Elephas maximus indicus: one gene and its partner. The protein of the gene in region 1 interacts with the protein of each later gene in a biochemical or structural test. Links are inferred from orthologs where the notes say so. Each region holds a gene or a part of one and is shown on either strand. Other genes may lie near its edges.

The links. The genes of interacting proteins can lie anywhere in the genome.
Region 2: of the proteins of UBA1 (region 1) and UBE2G2, one has a biochemical effect on the other in vitro, tested with the Homo sapiens proteins (5 studies listed by BioGRID, with this or other methods). The link is inferred for Elephas maximus indicus from reciprocal best matches to the Homo sapiens genes UBA1 and UBE2G2.

The regions. Positions count from the first base shown.
Region 1 is NC_064846.1:124,611,753-124,619,014, reverse strand, and holds the start of UBA1 (ubiquitin-like modifier-activating enzyme 1), read left to right. Parts: upstream 1-4,159; 5' UTR 4,160-4,365; intron 4,366-7,262. UniProt on the Homo sapiens protein: Catalyzes the first step in ubiquitin conjugation to mark cellular proteins for degradation through the ubiquitin-proteasome system.
Region 2 is NC_064820.1:229,237,558-229,244,681, reverse strand, and holds the start of UBE2G2 (ubiquitin-conjugating enzyme E2 G2), read left to right. Parts: upstream 1-4,103; 5' UTR 4,104-4,700; coding exon 4,701-4,743; intron 4,744-7,124. UniProt on the Homo sapiens protein: Accepts ubiquitin from the E1 complex and catalyzes its covalent attachment to other proteins. In vitro catalyzes 'Lys-48'-linked polyubiquitination. Involved in endoplasmic reticulum-associated degradation (ERAD).

The sequences.
Region 1 (7,262 bases):
TTGGCAGCAGTCAACAACACAACAGTATTATTGTGGGAAATTCTCAGCATTTCTATGTGGAAGACTATAAAAAATTTTAGGCACAAAATGGCAACAAAATATTAAAAAAGGAACCCTGGTGGCACGATGGTTAAATGCTTACATACTAGTCAAAACCCACTCAGAGGCTCCTTGGCGAACAGGCCTGACTATCTGCTTCCTGAAAGGTCACAGCCTTGAAAACCCTTTGAAGAAGTTCTACTCTGCACACGTGGGGTCACCCTGAGGTGGAATCTACACAATGGCAACTAACAACAACATATTAACTGACTAAAAGGAAACAATAATCTCAACCACAGAAAAAACTTTGATAAAGCGCAAGAATCCATTAATCCATACTTATATAATTTTTTTTATATAAATAAAGGAATAAATGAGGAAACAAATGGAGGAGGGAAAGCTTTTCTTTACGATAGAATGTCGTCTAATAATTATAAAACAAATGATAAAACCCTCTGAATTTCAGTGGGTTAAACTTCTATGAGGAACAATATTTACATAGTATTAAAGTACTTCACCACCAAATACTTGCTAACTACAAAGGGAAAAGATAATAACTTTACAGTAGAGAACCTCGCAGATAGCATTTTAATCAAGGGATGAAAGTGAGCATCATCAGTATTAAAACTGTACACCACCTGATAAGATGAAATGAGAAGACAGCATCACTTCTGTGATACAGTGTATTCCTATCCAAGATGCAGAGCCCGAATCAAATCTGAGGAAACATCAGACAAACCCAAACTGAGGAACATTCTACAAAATAACTGTAATCTTCAAAAGTGTCAAGGTCATGAAAATCAAGGAAAGACTGAAGGAGACTAGAGAGGTGAGACATCTGAATGCTCAAATGTCACTTCTGATTGCCCTAACTACCCTATTTAAAATTCCAACCCCTCCTCCACCATACTCTCTATGCCCCTTCCTTGCGTTGCTTTTCTCCATAGCACTTCTCAACTTCTAATGTACTGTATATTTTATTTATTTTTCTATATGGTTTGTCTCCATCACTGAAGTGCAAGCTCCATGAGGGTAAGGATTTTTATCTGTCCTGTCCACCGCTGTATCCCTAGTGCCTAGAGTAGGGTTTGGCGTACCAGATATTGGAAACGTGAATAAATGCACACACCACAACTGTTCAAATCATTCTCATCCTCAAGACTCTATTTTTAAAAAGTTCCTGAAAATCCGTAAGTACACCAACCCAATAGAAAGGAGGCAAAGGACATGCACAGAAAGTTCCCAGAAAAAAAAAAAATGCAGTTATCTTCAAATCTGTGAAAAGATACTTAAACTCACTCATAATAAGAGAAATGAAAATTCTAATTACAGTGATTGACAAACATCCAAAAGCTTGACAATACACTCTGTGAGATTGTGAATAAACCGGCACTCTTCTATGTTGCTGAAGGCAATGCAAAATGCCTTTCCCCTCACCTCTCCCTCTACTTTTCCCCTCTTTCTTACCTCCACAAGCTTTTTTTTTTTTTTGCTCAAGTAGTTTCCTCCAACTCTCCCCTCTTGCTTGTCCAAGTCAAATTCGGCCTCAATTACTGCCTCTGAGACATTTGAAGGCAATCAGTTCTTCAGAGAAGAACTCTGACACATCCATGGCATCAATTTCCACCTCTCATGAGCTCAAATCCGTATCTCCAGCCCAGACCTATTCCCAACCCCTGAATTTCAGACCCGGTCCCCAGCTATTCACTCAACTGACACCTCTACTTGGATGTCTAACAGCAACAACAAAAAACCAAAGCTGTTGCTGTTGAGTCGTTTCCTACTCACAGCAACCCTATAGGACAGATTGGAACTGCCCCATAGCGTTTCCAAGGAGCGGAGCTGCTGATGGATTCAAATTGCTGACTTTTGGTTAGCAGCCGAGCTTTTAACCACTAGGCCACCAGGGCCCCATAATCATGTCCAAACTTATCATGTCCAAAAACACACTCCTGATCTTCCCCCATATCTGCTCGTAATGGAGTTATGTGCCATGTCAGTTGATGGCAACTCTATCCTTCCAGCTGCTCAAGCTAAAAGCCTGGGGGGTCAGCCAGGACTCTATCTTTCATGCCCTACATCTGATCTCTCAGCAAACCTTGGCATCCTTACCTTCAAAATCAATCCAGAATCATCACTCCTCACCACTTCCACTTTCACCATCTTGGTCTGATCCTCTCATCACTTCCTAGACTCTTACAGTAGCCGTTTCACAGATCTCGATTCTTCCACCTTTGCCCCTATAACCCTCTTTGTCCCTCCATACAGAGCAACCAGATTGTTCTAAAACATAATTTATATTATGTCACTTCTCCGCTTAAACCCCTTTTAAGGCTCCCTACGGATCTTAGAGTAAAAGCCAAACAAACATCTCAGCCTGGCTTACAATACCCTACTTGATTTGGTGTCTGATCTCATCTCCTAATACTTTCCCTTCCTCATTCCTCAAGGAGCCCTGGTGGCACAGTGGTTAAGAGCTCGGCTGCTAACTGAAAGGTTGGCTTGTCGAACCCACCACCTGCTCTGCTGAAGAAAGGTGTGACAGTCTGCCTCCCTTACTCTGTCCTATAGAGGGACTATGAGTCAGAATCAGCTCAGTGGTAATACGTTTAGTTTTTTTGGTTTTCCTCATTCCTCTCCATCTACACAGAATCATGCCACGATCCTTCCAACCTCAAGGCTTTGCACCTGATGTTTCTTTTGCCTAGAATGCTTTCCTCCACATTTACACATGGCTCACTTCCTCACTCCCTCACTGCTCAAATGTCACCTCCTCAGAGAGGCATTCCCTGACTATTTTAGACTGTGGGTATCAGGCAAGGCTTCTCTGAGGTGATGCAAGATCTTGACAACTGCAAGGGGACCCTTGCTATGTTCCTTGCTATATCCCCAGGGCCCTGCACTTAGTGGGCGCTCAATAAATCATTTTCAAATGAACGAATTTGGAGGTTGCTAACAGGGTATGAGATACAGAATTTGGGATAAGGTGATAAAGATATTCTGTGTTAAATAAACTCCTTGGCACAAATGTCATCTTTTCAGTGAAACCTTCACTGGCCACACTGTCTGAAATTGCAGCCTATCCCCACAGATTCCCCTTACCTTGTCCTGTTTTCCCCCATAGCATTTAGAAGTTAGCATATGTATACAATGTTATTGTTAAGTGGGCCTCAGGTATACAGAATGATGCCCTGTCCTGTGCCATCTTCATGATCATTGGTCTGTTTGAGTTCATTGTTGTGGCTTCTATGTCAGTCCATCTCATTAAAGGGTTTCCCTCGTTTTCACTGAGCCTCTCTACTTTACCAATAAATATTTATTTATATAATTCACACATTAATATATGTATTTAACATAAAAAAAATTTATTATACCAAAACCCGTTGCCATTGAGTCGGTTCCGACGCATAGCGACCCTATAGGACAGAATAGAACTGCCCCATAGAGTTTCTAAGGAGCGGCTGGTGGATTTGAACTGCCGGCCTTTTGGTTAGCAGCCTGAACTCTTAACCACTATGCCTCCAGGGCTCCAAATTTATTATATACAGATGTAAATCATTTTAATAAATACTAAGGCTCCAAATTTATTATATACAGATGTAAATCATTTTAATAAATACTAGCTAGGTTAAAAAAAAAATTTTTTTTATCATGTTAAAAAAATTTTTATCATGATAAAAAAATTGTACATTACACATAATTTATGTCACATGTTTATTATAATACATATTTATATGTGAAATTATGATTTTTTACTTATTTGTTATGTTTATGGTCTGTCTGTCTGTCTAGCTAGAATGTCAGTTCCATGAGCACCTGGCCCACAGTTTAAGCTCCATAGATGTCAAGTGAATGAACTCCTCTGGCCACCTGAGCCTCAGTCTCCCCTTCTGTAGGGTGGGTGTGCCTTTCCGTTTGGAAGCACCTCCACGTTCTGCTCCCTTCTCCCACTCCCCCAAGAGCACTGCGCCCGCGGCCCAGGTTTACATTTTCCCTTACCCTGGGAGCCGATGCCCACCACGTGCATCAGGCGCTGGCCAGACAGGACTACCACCCCCAGCATGCCCCGCGCCGTCCGGGACTACCACGGTCTGTAGGGGTGTCTGGGTCTGAAACGGGCGCTGGCTGCGCGGAAGCAGGGACAGGTGCCCCTCTAGCCAAGCGTCTGTGGTAGGGCCCAGCCCAGGGGACCTCTAAGGCCCCGCGCTTCTGAACTCCGAGCAAACTCTGGCTCCTATTGCACGACGGAGGTGATTTGCTCTTCCGTTGATCCGTGGCATCGGCTCATCTCTAGCAGGAAGGCGAGGCTTCCGCCCGGCCCAGGGGGTAAGATGGAGCACAGTGCCCCCAACCCTTGGACAGCATTTGGAACAGGGCGCTCAACTTCAGAATCCCCTAGTGGGCGCATTTGGAGGCTCCAGGCCCAGGGTAGCATTTAGGGGTGTCTGTTTTGGAAGGATCCTTAGGAGGTGGCATTTGAGGACTCCGGGTGGGATTTGGAAGCCTGTTTTGGGGCATACCCCCTCGGAGGCAGTGTTTAGGGGGATGTTTGGGGAGACCAAGAAGCCCCGGTAGTACAGTGGTTAAGTGCTCTGCTGTTAACCGAAAGGTCGGCCGTTCGAACCCTATCTGGGGGAGAAAGATGTGGCAGTGTGCTTCCGTAAAGATTACAGCCTTGGAAACCCTATGGGGCAGTTCGGCTTTGTCCCACAGGGTCTCTATGAGTTGGAATCGACGGGAAGGCAACGGGTTTGGTTTTTTTTTTCTTTTTGGGGGGCGGGGGGAGAGACCCTTAGGGTCCACGTTTGAGTACTCTGTCCATGAGGGAGGAATTGAGGTGTCCCCCAAGCAGGGAGGCGGAGTTTGAGGTTCCTGAAGTCAAGGCGCAATTTTGGGAGAGTTTATATTAGGAAGTGTCCCGCTGACAATGTTTAAGAACGTTCAGGACCGATGTGGCATTTGGAAGGTATTCATGGCCATTGTGACCTCTGATGGTTCCATGATGGGGTACTCTCTGCACTTGGGGAGCCAGGGTGGTGAGACTGAGCACGTCGGGGTCCACACGTTTTTGGGGAGAGGAACCCCGACCCCATGCTGTGCCCAGGGACTCCAGAGCCCGGTCTGCTGGGCTTTTCCTGAGAGGAGCAGATTTTTGCCTCTTTCACACCTGGTCCACTGTAAGTATTGAGTTGTGAATTATTCACGAGGGGGCGGGTCAGTGTGCTGAAGCTGGGTTTGGGGTCTGCCACACCAAACTAGAGCTTATTGACTATTCATGCAGGTGAGTAGAGCCTCATGTTTTCTGCGGCCTTTCTAAGGGCCCATTCCCACCCCATTGCCTTCCAGTCAATCCTCATTCATAGTGACCCTATAGGACAGACAGAACTGGCCCATAGGGTTTCCAAGACTGTAATCTTTACAGAGGGGCCCTGGTAGTGCAGTGGTTAAGAGCTCAGCTGCTAACCAAAAGGTCGGCAGTTTGAATCCAACAGCCGCTCCTTAGAAACCCTAGGGGGATGTTCTACTCTGTCCTATAGGGTCGCTATGAGTCCAAATCGACAGGATGGCGATAGATTTTTTTAATCTTTAGGGAAACAGACTGCCACATCTTTCTCCCACAGTGCGGCTGGTGGGTTCGAACAGCCAACCTTTCGGTTAGCACAGGAGCGCTTAACCACTGTGTCACCAGGGCTTCTTTTCCTAGGGGCATTGCGTATAATTCATGAGGGGCATGGCTTTTGCGGCCTCTTCTACATGATCCGTGGTTAGCTTTCCCTCGTAGGTTCCAGTGTATAAGCCTTGCATCTAGCGAAGGAGTGGAGCCTCATGCATTGTTCATAATTCCTTATGGCCCAGTATCCCATGTTATCAACAAAAACTCTGGATGCAAATCTCATCAATCCTTGCCAGCTGTGTGATCTTTGGCAAAGCTTTTGTGAGCCTGAAAAATGGGTATGAGGATAATGATAATAAAATTAGCAAACACTCATTTAGCACTTTATTAGCTCATTTAATCTTCACAACAACTCTGGGAGGTAGGTTATTATCACCTTTTATAGATGAGGAAACTGGGACACAGTTAGGCTAAGTAATTTGCCTAAGGTTACACAGCCAGTGAGTGGCTGAGCCAGGATTCAAACCCAGTCTAGTTCCAGAGTCTGCAGTCTTAACCAAGTGCCATAATGCCTCCCCACTCCTCCCCAATATAATAGTACTACCACTAATGTTAGTCATATAGCAGTGCCAGGCACTGTTCTAAGTGCTTTGTACATATTTACTCATTTAAACTCCTTCACAAGGTAGGTTACTATTATTATTACCATTTTATGGATGGGGAAACCAAGGCCCAGAGAGGTGAAGTGTCTGGTCCCCGGCCACACAGCCAGCAACTGGTGGCCAGAAATGTAAGGGTTTAAGTTTTTTTTTTTTTTTAAGGAGGTTACATTTGAGTTGAGACCTGAAGAACCGGAAGGAACCTGTTTCCTCCTCTGCAAAACAGGGCTAATAAAAGCACCACCTTCACGGTGTTTTCCTGAAGAGGATATCAGTGGCACAATGCATAGAAAGGACACACCACAGGAGCTACCACTTAGTAGGGGATTAGTTACTGTGGTCTGTTATTATTTAACAGAAATGTGTTGAGTTCTTACTGTGTGCCTGGGGCTTTGGCATATGGTTGTATCTGGTGACCTGGTAGACTGTCCTACTTATTTCACAGACATTGGTTGCCTTATCATGCTGTTTTCCAGTATTCTTCCGGGAGGGTGTTTCACAGCATTATTTTTTAAATAATGCTCCAAGTGGGGGTTTCTCAAGTGACTGGGTATACCCTCACCCAGAACTAATTTCATATTAATATAAATACATATTTATAAATTACCTTTATATTACTATGTAATATTTTAAAAATTTAAGTGTTTTTGTGCCAGCAGTGGTCTAATCTCGTCCCATAATTCATATCCTCTAATTTTCATAATAACTTATTTCAACCCCATGAGGTGGGTGGGTTCTGTTACTATACCCATTTTCAGTTGTGGAAACTGAGGCATCTGCCAAAGGCATGTAGTGAGTCTGGGTTTGGTGGGATCAAGGCAGTCCTGGCTCATGAGCAGTTCAGGGGTGGCGAGGAGGGGACATCATTCCCTCTGTGACTCTGCAGCATTGTCTTTCATTATTTATGAACCGGGAGGCGTGACCACATTGTCTCGGCAACTAGGCAGTAG
Region 2 (7,124 bases), on another chromosome or scaffold:
CCTTTGTGCCGTGGGCAGTCCGCTCATTGCCTGTGTTGAAGCAGAAGTGAACTGGTGCTAATCTGATGCGGACAGTTTCTCAGCACGCTGTGCTGTGGCAGCACCAGGGCTGACAGTGCCAGGGCTGTTTTGTTCGTCAGTTGAAGTGAGCACAAGGCGAAAGGTCAATGGCAGTGGGGACACTGAGCACATCCAGGCTGGCACTTGACTCACCACAAGACTGTAGGGATTAAATCAGAGCGCATTACAGAGCTTGACCAATTTGCCAAGTCCTCTCTGCTAGGAGGGGAGGGGTGGCTACAACCTGAGCGAAGGAGCATCTTAGTTTGTGTGAGGAGAGGTGTGTGCCCAAGATGCCCTCAGTTAGAAAAGCAGAATGGCTGAGGGTCGACTTGGCTGCGTTACAGCCGTGCTGCGTGGATTTCCACCCTCAACACCTGGCAGTGGAAGAGAGGGCAGGAAATGCCCTCCAGGTTGTCTTTATCTTGGAAACTCACCAAGTGGTACATCTGAAATAATGGATCTGTTAGGACTGGTATTTTTAAAAACATTGAATTCCATAAACCTAATTTACAGAATTAGGAAACCCTGGTGGCATAGTGATTAAGAGGTACGACTGCTAACCGAAAGGTGGGCAGTTCAAATCCACCAGGTGCTCCTTGGAAACTCTATGGGGCAGTTCTACTCTGTCCCGTAGGGTCGCTATGAGTCGGAGATCGACTCGAGGGCAATGGCTAACGGCTAACTTGCAGCATCTATGGTGGATTCAGACTGCCGACCCTTTGGTTAGCAGCCATAGCACTTAACTGCTGTGCCACCAGGGTTTCTGTTTTGGTTTGGTTTATGGGTTAAATTGGTGTTTCAGGAAGATGGGCCCTATTTATCCTGTTATCTGTAGCCTAGGGTCCCAGCTGAGACTTTCCCAGTTTTAGCACTGAAACTCCCACATCCTGGAACCCTCTCAGTCCAGGCAAACTGGAACAGTGGGTCGCCTGAGCTGTGCTGCACAGGTGAAGCAGCACATTGAGAAGTGCAATATTAAAGTGCAATATTAAAGCTGTACCATGTAACACGGGTTCAGCCGCGAGGTCCTTTTTATCCTTCAGAAATTTAGTTGCCGAGAATATCAAAGTCATAATTTTGTTCTGAACTTGCTGCCTCCCCAGTGTGTGCTGCTTAGGAAAGTCAGTAACTATCACATGCCTGCTACTCAGAACACTTGGACAACCAGTACCAACTTATCTGGGTTTAGAGTTGCCAGATACAGCAATAAATAAATACATACATACTTGCCGTAGCCATCTAGTACTGCTATAACAGAAATACCACAAGTGGATGGCTTTAACTAACAAATTGATTCTCTCACAGTCTAGGAGGCTAGAAGTCCGAAATCGGGGTGCCAGCTTCCAGGGAAGGTTTTCTCTCTCTCAGTTCTGGGGGAAGGTCCCTGCCATCAATCCTGCCCTGGTCTAGGAGCATCTCAGCACGGGGACTTCAGGTCCAAGTGACACACCCCACTCCTGGCTCTGCTTTCTTGGTGGTAGGAGGTCTCTTTGCTCGATTCTGTCTTTTATATCTCAAAAGGTATAAAAGATACCTCAAGATACAATCTAATCCTATAGATTGGGTCCCACCTCATTAACATAAATGCCTCTAATCCTGCCTCATTAACATAGAGGTAGGATTTACAACACATAGGAGAATCACATCAGACCACAAAATGATGGATAACCACACAATTCTGGGAATCATGGCCTAGCCAAGTTGATACACATTTTTGGGGTACACAATTCAATCCATAACGATACCAAAAAACCAAACTTGTTGCTGTTGAGTCGCTTCTGACTCATATAAACCCTGTAGGACACAGCAGAACTGTCCCATAGGGTTTCCAAGGTTGTAATCTTTATGGAAGCAGAGTGCCACATCTTTATCCTATGGAGCAGTGGTGAGTTTGAACCACCAACCTTTTGGTTGGCAGCCGAGTGCTTTAACCACCACGCCACCGAGATTCCTTAAATAGAAATATACATCCCAGTTAAATTTGAATTTCGGATAAAGAACAAGTAGCTGGAGCGTGAGGAGATGTGCTCAGGACAGTGGAACAAGAGAAGCCTGGTTCCCTGAAGATACTCGAGCCAGCCTTACGCATCTACCCGGGAGAAATAGTTCATCCGGTTTAACCCAATGCCAACAAGTCGATTCTGACTCACGGCGACCCTGTAGGACAGAGGAGAACTGCCCCGCAGGGTTTCCAAGGAGCAGCTGGTGAATTCAAACTGCCGACCTCTTGGTTAGCAGCCGTAGCTCTTAACCACCGCACCACCAGGGTTCCTCATCTTGTTTAATCACCTCCTATTTTGGGTTTCTGCCACGGGAATGTGAAGTGAATCCTGACATAAACTGTAAAACCCATTTCCTACGATTGTTACCGAAGGACAGACACAGTGCTCCGCGGTGCGTTGGGAAGTGAGGTCTGGAAGGGATTGACTCAGAAAGCATCCAGGATGTGCTGGGCCGCTGTTCTGAGCGTCGTCCTGACGTTTGCGATGATGGTTTTCATCGCCTGCACTTCCTTTAACTGCAAAAGCTGAATTGTTCTCCTTGAGAAGACATGGGAAGGCCACCCCCTTGTGACCAATGGAGTGGGTCTGCCGACTGCTTTGGGGCTTGGCTGGGGTTTGTGATCACAGAGGAGTGGGCTGCTGTCTGGGATGGGGGGAGGAAACTTTGTAACCTTTTGTCCAAATCCATTACTCTTTGAAACAGTCTAAAAGTATCTTAACTACCACATAATTTTTCTGAATCACAGGTGGTCCTTTGAAAATCAGGGCTGGACTGAAATTTGGTGACACTCCTACCCTAAAACATGCAAACTTAATGAATCGTGTTTGCACTGTTAAATTTCATTCATTCAACAAATACTTATTGAGAGCACACCATGTCCAGGTACGGAGGCAAAATCCCTACCCTCCTGTTTAGAAGAAACAGGTAAGTTATATAGTGCGCTAATAAATCATATAGAATGGACAAGTGTGGGGGAGAAAAAAGTGAGGTGGGGGTAAAGGCCAGTGGGCAAGTGGTGGGTAGGGCTGCAGTTTTAGGTAGGGGACAGGCAGGCCACACCAATTTGGTTAACATTTGAACAGACTTGAAAGAGATGGGGGTGGGGAGGGGGGGACACAAGGGCTACTAAGAGATGGGTGCTCCCCAAAGATGGAGAAGCCAGCACTGAGACACTAGTCATGAGAGTGGCTGGGGGGGTGGCCAGGGTGCTGGGGTCTGCAGGTGAGGCAGAGGCAGAACATCATAGCCACTGTAGGGACACGAGTGTTTACTTAGGAACATGGGAGCAGCCGGGTGTCAATATGACTTGACATCTTTTAAATGGGTCATGTCTGCTATGTTGAAAACAAAGAGGGAAGGGCAAATTAAGAGGCGACTGCAACAATCCAGGCAGGAAGTGAGGGCTGTTTATACAAAAGGCACATACTGAGCACAGCCACCAGGTACTAAGTGTGCTCATTTTCCTTGAAGTCATTAAGGATGCGGGTTCCGAGAAGCATAAATACATCACCCAATCCCTGCAGGTCAACCGGGAGTAGAACCCAGACGATAGAAAAAGGTCTCACTGGTTACAGGGATAAACCTTGCACCATTGTGGGAGAAGGTGGAGAAGCAGAGGCCATGTGGGATTTGGAGGAAGGTGAAGTCACTCATCAGCCCTCCTGTGGCACCGGGAAGTGGGCACAACTCCAGCCCGTTGGACCCAGAAGGGACCTGTGGGGAAATCTGGGAGGCTGCTGCCTCTGCTTTGGGTGGTGACCCCAGGTCAGTGTTGGTCAGCAGAGCTGGCAGGCAGGAAGAATGGGGGCCACTGCCCACCCGGCATGAGGGTGGCTGCTCTGCTCCCCGTTGTTTTCCCACAGCTTCTTCTCTGATCCAGAGCTTTGGGAATCAGAGTTCCAGCCTGGCCACCTCGAATGAAGAATAAAACCACCACGATCACCGACCTTCTTCTACTCCCTAAAAACCTAAGGCCTGCTTGAGGAGTTTTGTTCCGAACGCGCACCAAATGTCTCCTTCCTGAACAGTTTAAGCCTCAGTTGGGCCTGAAGAATTAAAACCCCTAATAAAGAGAAAGTCATCTCCGTGAACTGGACCAACACGCTAGCGGTAATTTTGACTCCAGCACTGCTCCAAGGCCGGCTGAACTCGGGGCCAGAGCCGAGCCCTCGCCGCCGGCCCCCAGGCCTCAGCCGGAACACCTGCGCTCTCACTAAGGCTGTCGTTGACGTTATCCGTCTAAACCGGTCATTTCTGCGCACAGCCGGAATAAAACAACACGGTAATGACAAACACCGGGGCGCCCACGGATCCAGGACTCGGTCCTGCAGAAACCGGAAACTGCGGTATCACGCTGGGATCAGCCCAGCGGTCGGGACGTCATCGATCCCAAAAGGGCCCCGTCCGCTCCGCTCCCCGCCACCCACACCGGGCCGCTCGGTCCGAGGAGCGCGGCCGGAACTTTCCTCCAGACCGAGCCCCGGGGTCCGGGGGCGCTTGGGCACTCGGTTGGCTCAGCGACCCGGAAGAGCTTCTCTGGTCGCGACGGCAACCCGGAAGCAGCCGCCGGCATCGGGGCGGGAGGGACGGGCCCTTATGAGGCGAGGGCGCAGGGAGCTGCTGTTGCCCGGACGATGGCGGGGACGGCGCTCAAGAGGCTGATGGCCGAGTACAAACGTGAGTTCGGGGCCCCGCGCCGGCCTTTCTCGGGGGCTGCCCGACGCTCGAGCCCCTGCCGCGGGCCTGCCCCACCCCGGACGCCGTCCGGGCCGCCCCTCGCCTTTACTCCTTCGGGATAGCCGGTTGGCCGCAGGCCTCGAGGCGGGACGCGTCCGGCTGTGCCCGCCTCGCCTCGCAGTATTGCGTCCCGGCGACAGTCGGGCGGATCCCCTTCCAGCGCTGCTGGGTCCAGGGGTGTGGGCCGAGGTTGCGGCTTCAAATCAGGGTGCCAGCGGACCACCCAGGCCTGATGGGACGGTGCCCTGAGGATGCAGAGGACCCGAGAAGGTTCCAGATGACCCCTGTGCTAGCTGTGTAGGTGTTTCAGTTAGTTCCCATGTGGGAGCCCCGGACTCCCCAAACCACTGAGTCATGCTTGTTTGTTCGCGTGTTAGAAGCAAATGTGATTTGGTTTGGTACACTGTGACTGTCATAAAACGGTCTGGGATGTGGGTACTCTCTTGTGCCTACTAGCTACCCTACTTCTTAGTGTATAAACAAAGAGAAATACTTAAATAAATACATTAGTACTGTGGTGGTGTTAGTTTAGAATGCTTAAATACCCCCCCCCGCCCCTTTTAGTAATTTAGAGGCCCCTTAACTGCAGACTAAGGAGCCCTGGTGGTGCAGTGGTTCAGCGCTCGGCTGCTAACCAAAGAGACAGGTGGCAGTCTGCTTCTGTAACGACTTACAGCCTTAGAAACCCTGTAGAGGTCGCTAGGAATTGGAATCCGCTCGGTGGCAATGTTTTTTTTTTTTTTTTTTAAGTTGCAGATTTACAAATGTGCAAGAAGTTGGGGAGGAAAGCCTGAATTGCCTACTGAAAAGTTTTTTAAAAAAGTGTTATTTTCCTGCTAAAAGGAAAAAGCTCGTTGTGATGAGTTGTAGTTGAAAGATCAGATTTTATATTTCTCTCTAATAAGAGATCAGGGATTTTGAATAGTGTCACCTGTTACTCTTCCTAGGTAGTGTTCAGAAAACCTAGTTAAGGCTTTCTTAGGCAGTAAATAAAGTGTTTCCAGTATTTTGGGGAAAGTAAATGGAGAAATGAGAAGCCTAAACCCTGTTGCTGTAGAGTCAATTCCAACTCATAGCGACCCTGTGAGAAGCCTAGGAATACCCTATTGTACCTTTTTAAAGTGAAATGCTCTCTTGGAATAAAACTCAGAGGCCTGCTGCCATGAGAAGTTATGGAATGCCATTGTGATTGAAGGTGCCAGAAACCTTTGAATTGACTGATAGGAGACAAGGTGGTAGCGTGGTTAAGAGTGTGGCCCCTGCAGCCGCAGACCTGGGTTGAGACCCTCCCTCTGGCCTCGGGCAAATCCCTTAACTTCTCTACAACTTCCTCATCTGTGAAGATCAAAGTTGATATTGCAGGTGAAGGGCTTAGCAAGATCCCGGATTCATAGCTCTCAGTAACGTTAGTTGTTACTGTTGTTATAATTAGATGGAGGATAATTTTGGAAGAAAGTTGAAAATAAACTGAAATAAGAATAATAAAAATAATTGGTGAATACACATGCTTGTGTGCTGCACAGGGAGAGTTGATGTTTGGCAGGAGCAAACCAAACTTGTCAAATGCAGGCTCCTTAAAGTCAGTGTTTCAATAAGGTCCACTACTTACCTTGTGTTCATTACGGTAGGAACATGTATTTCTGCATTTAAAGCAGACTTTTAGGGGACTGTGGAGGAGATGGTTCACTCTGGACAGAGGATGGTGGTGGGAGGCTACTGTCTCTACCTTGTCATGGGAAACCAAGCTGGGGGATCAGACAGGTATGAACTCATCACCTACCATTTACTGACTACAAGCATTGTGGTCTGTGTTTCTGTATTTGTTTTAGTCTGTTTAGCCCTATTTCTAGGCTGTGAGCAGATATCACTTCCTTATTCATTTTGCTTTGCGGGGGGAGTAGGCCAGTCTTCTTGCTTCAGTCCAGCCTTTGCGGTGTTGAACTTGTATTTCCTAAGAATATTTACATTAGCAAAGCTTTTTTTCTTTCTTTTTACTGTACTTACGGAAGGCTTATCCATTATTTCAACCACATTGTTAATTAGTTTGCAGGAATAGAACCTGAATAGCAGTTGACTTCAAATGCTACGTTGCAGAGTGTCTTGTATTTGTGTGTTTTTATATGTTCATATATGGAATTTTGGGGTATGTGTTGTAGGCAGAACTCTGAAGATCTAAGGATACTCTGGTTATTCAATCAGACAATAATCTAGGTGTTGCAGAGGTAGTTAAGGTTAGTAAATATCTGACCTTAATTATGATAGAGAAACTAGCCTGAATTGCCCAGATGGGCCCAATAATTAGAACCCTAAAGAGCAGCAGA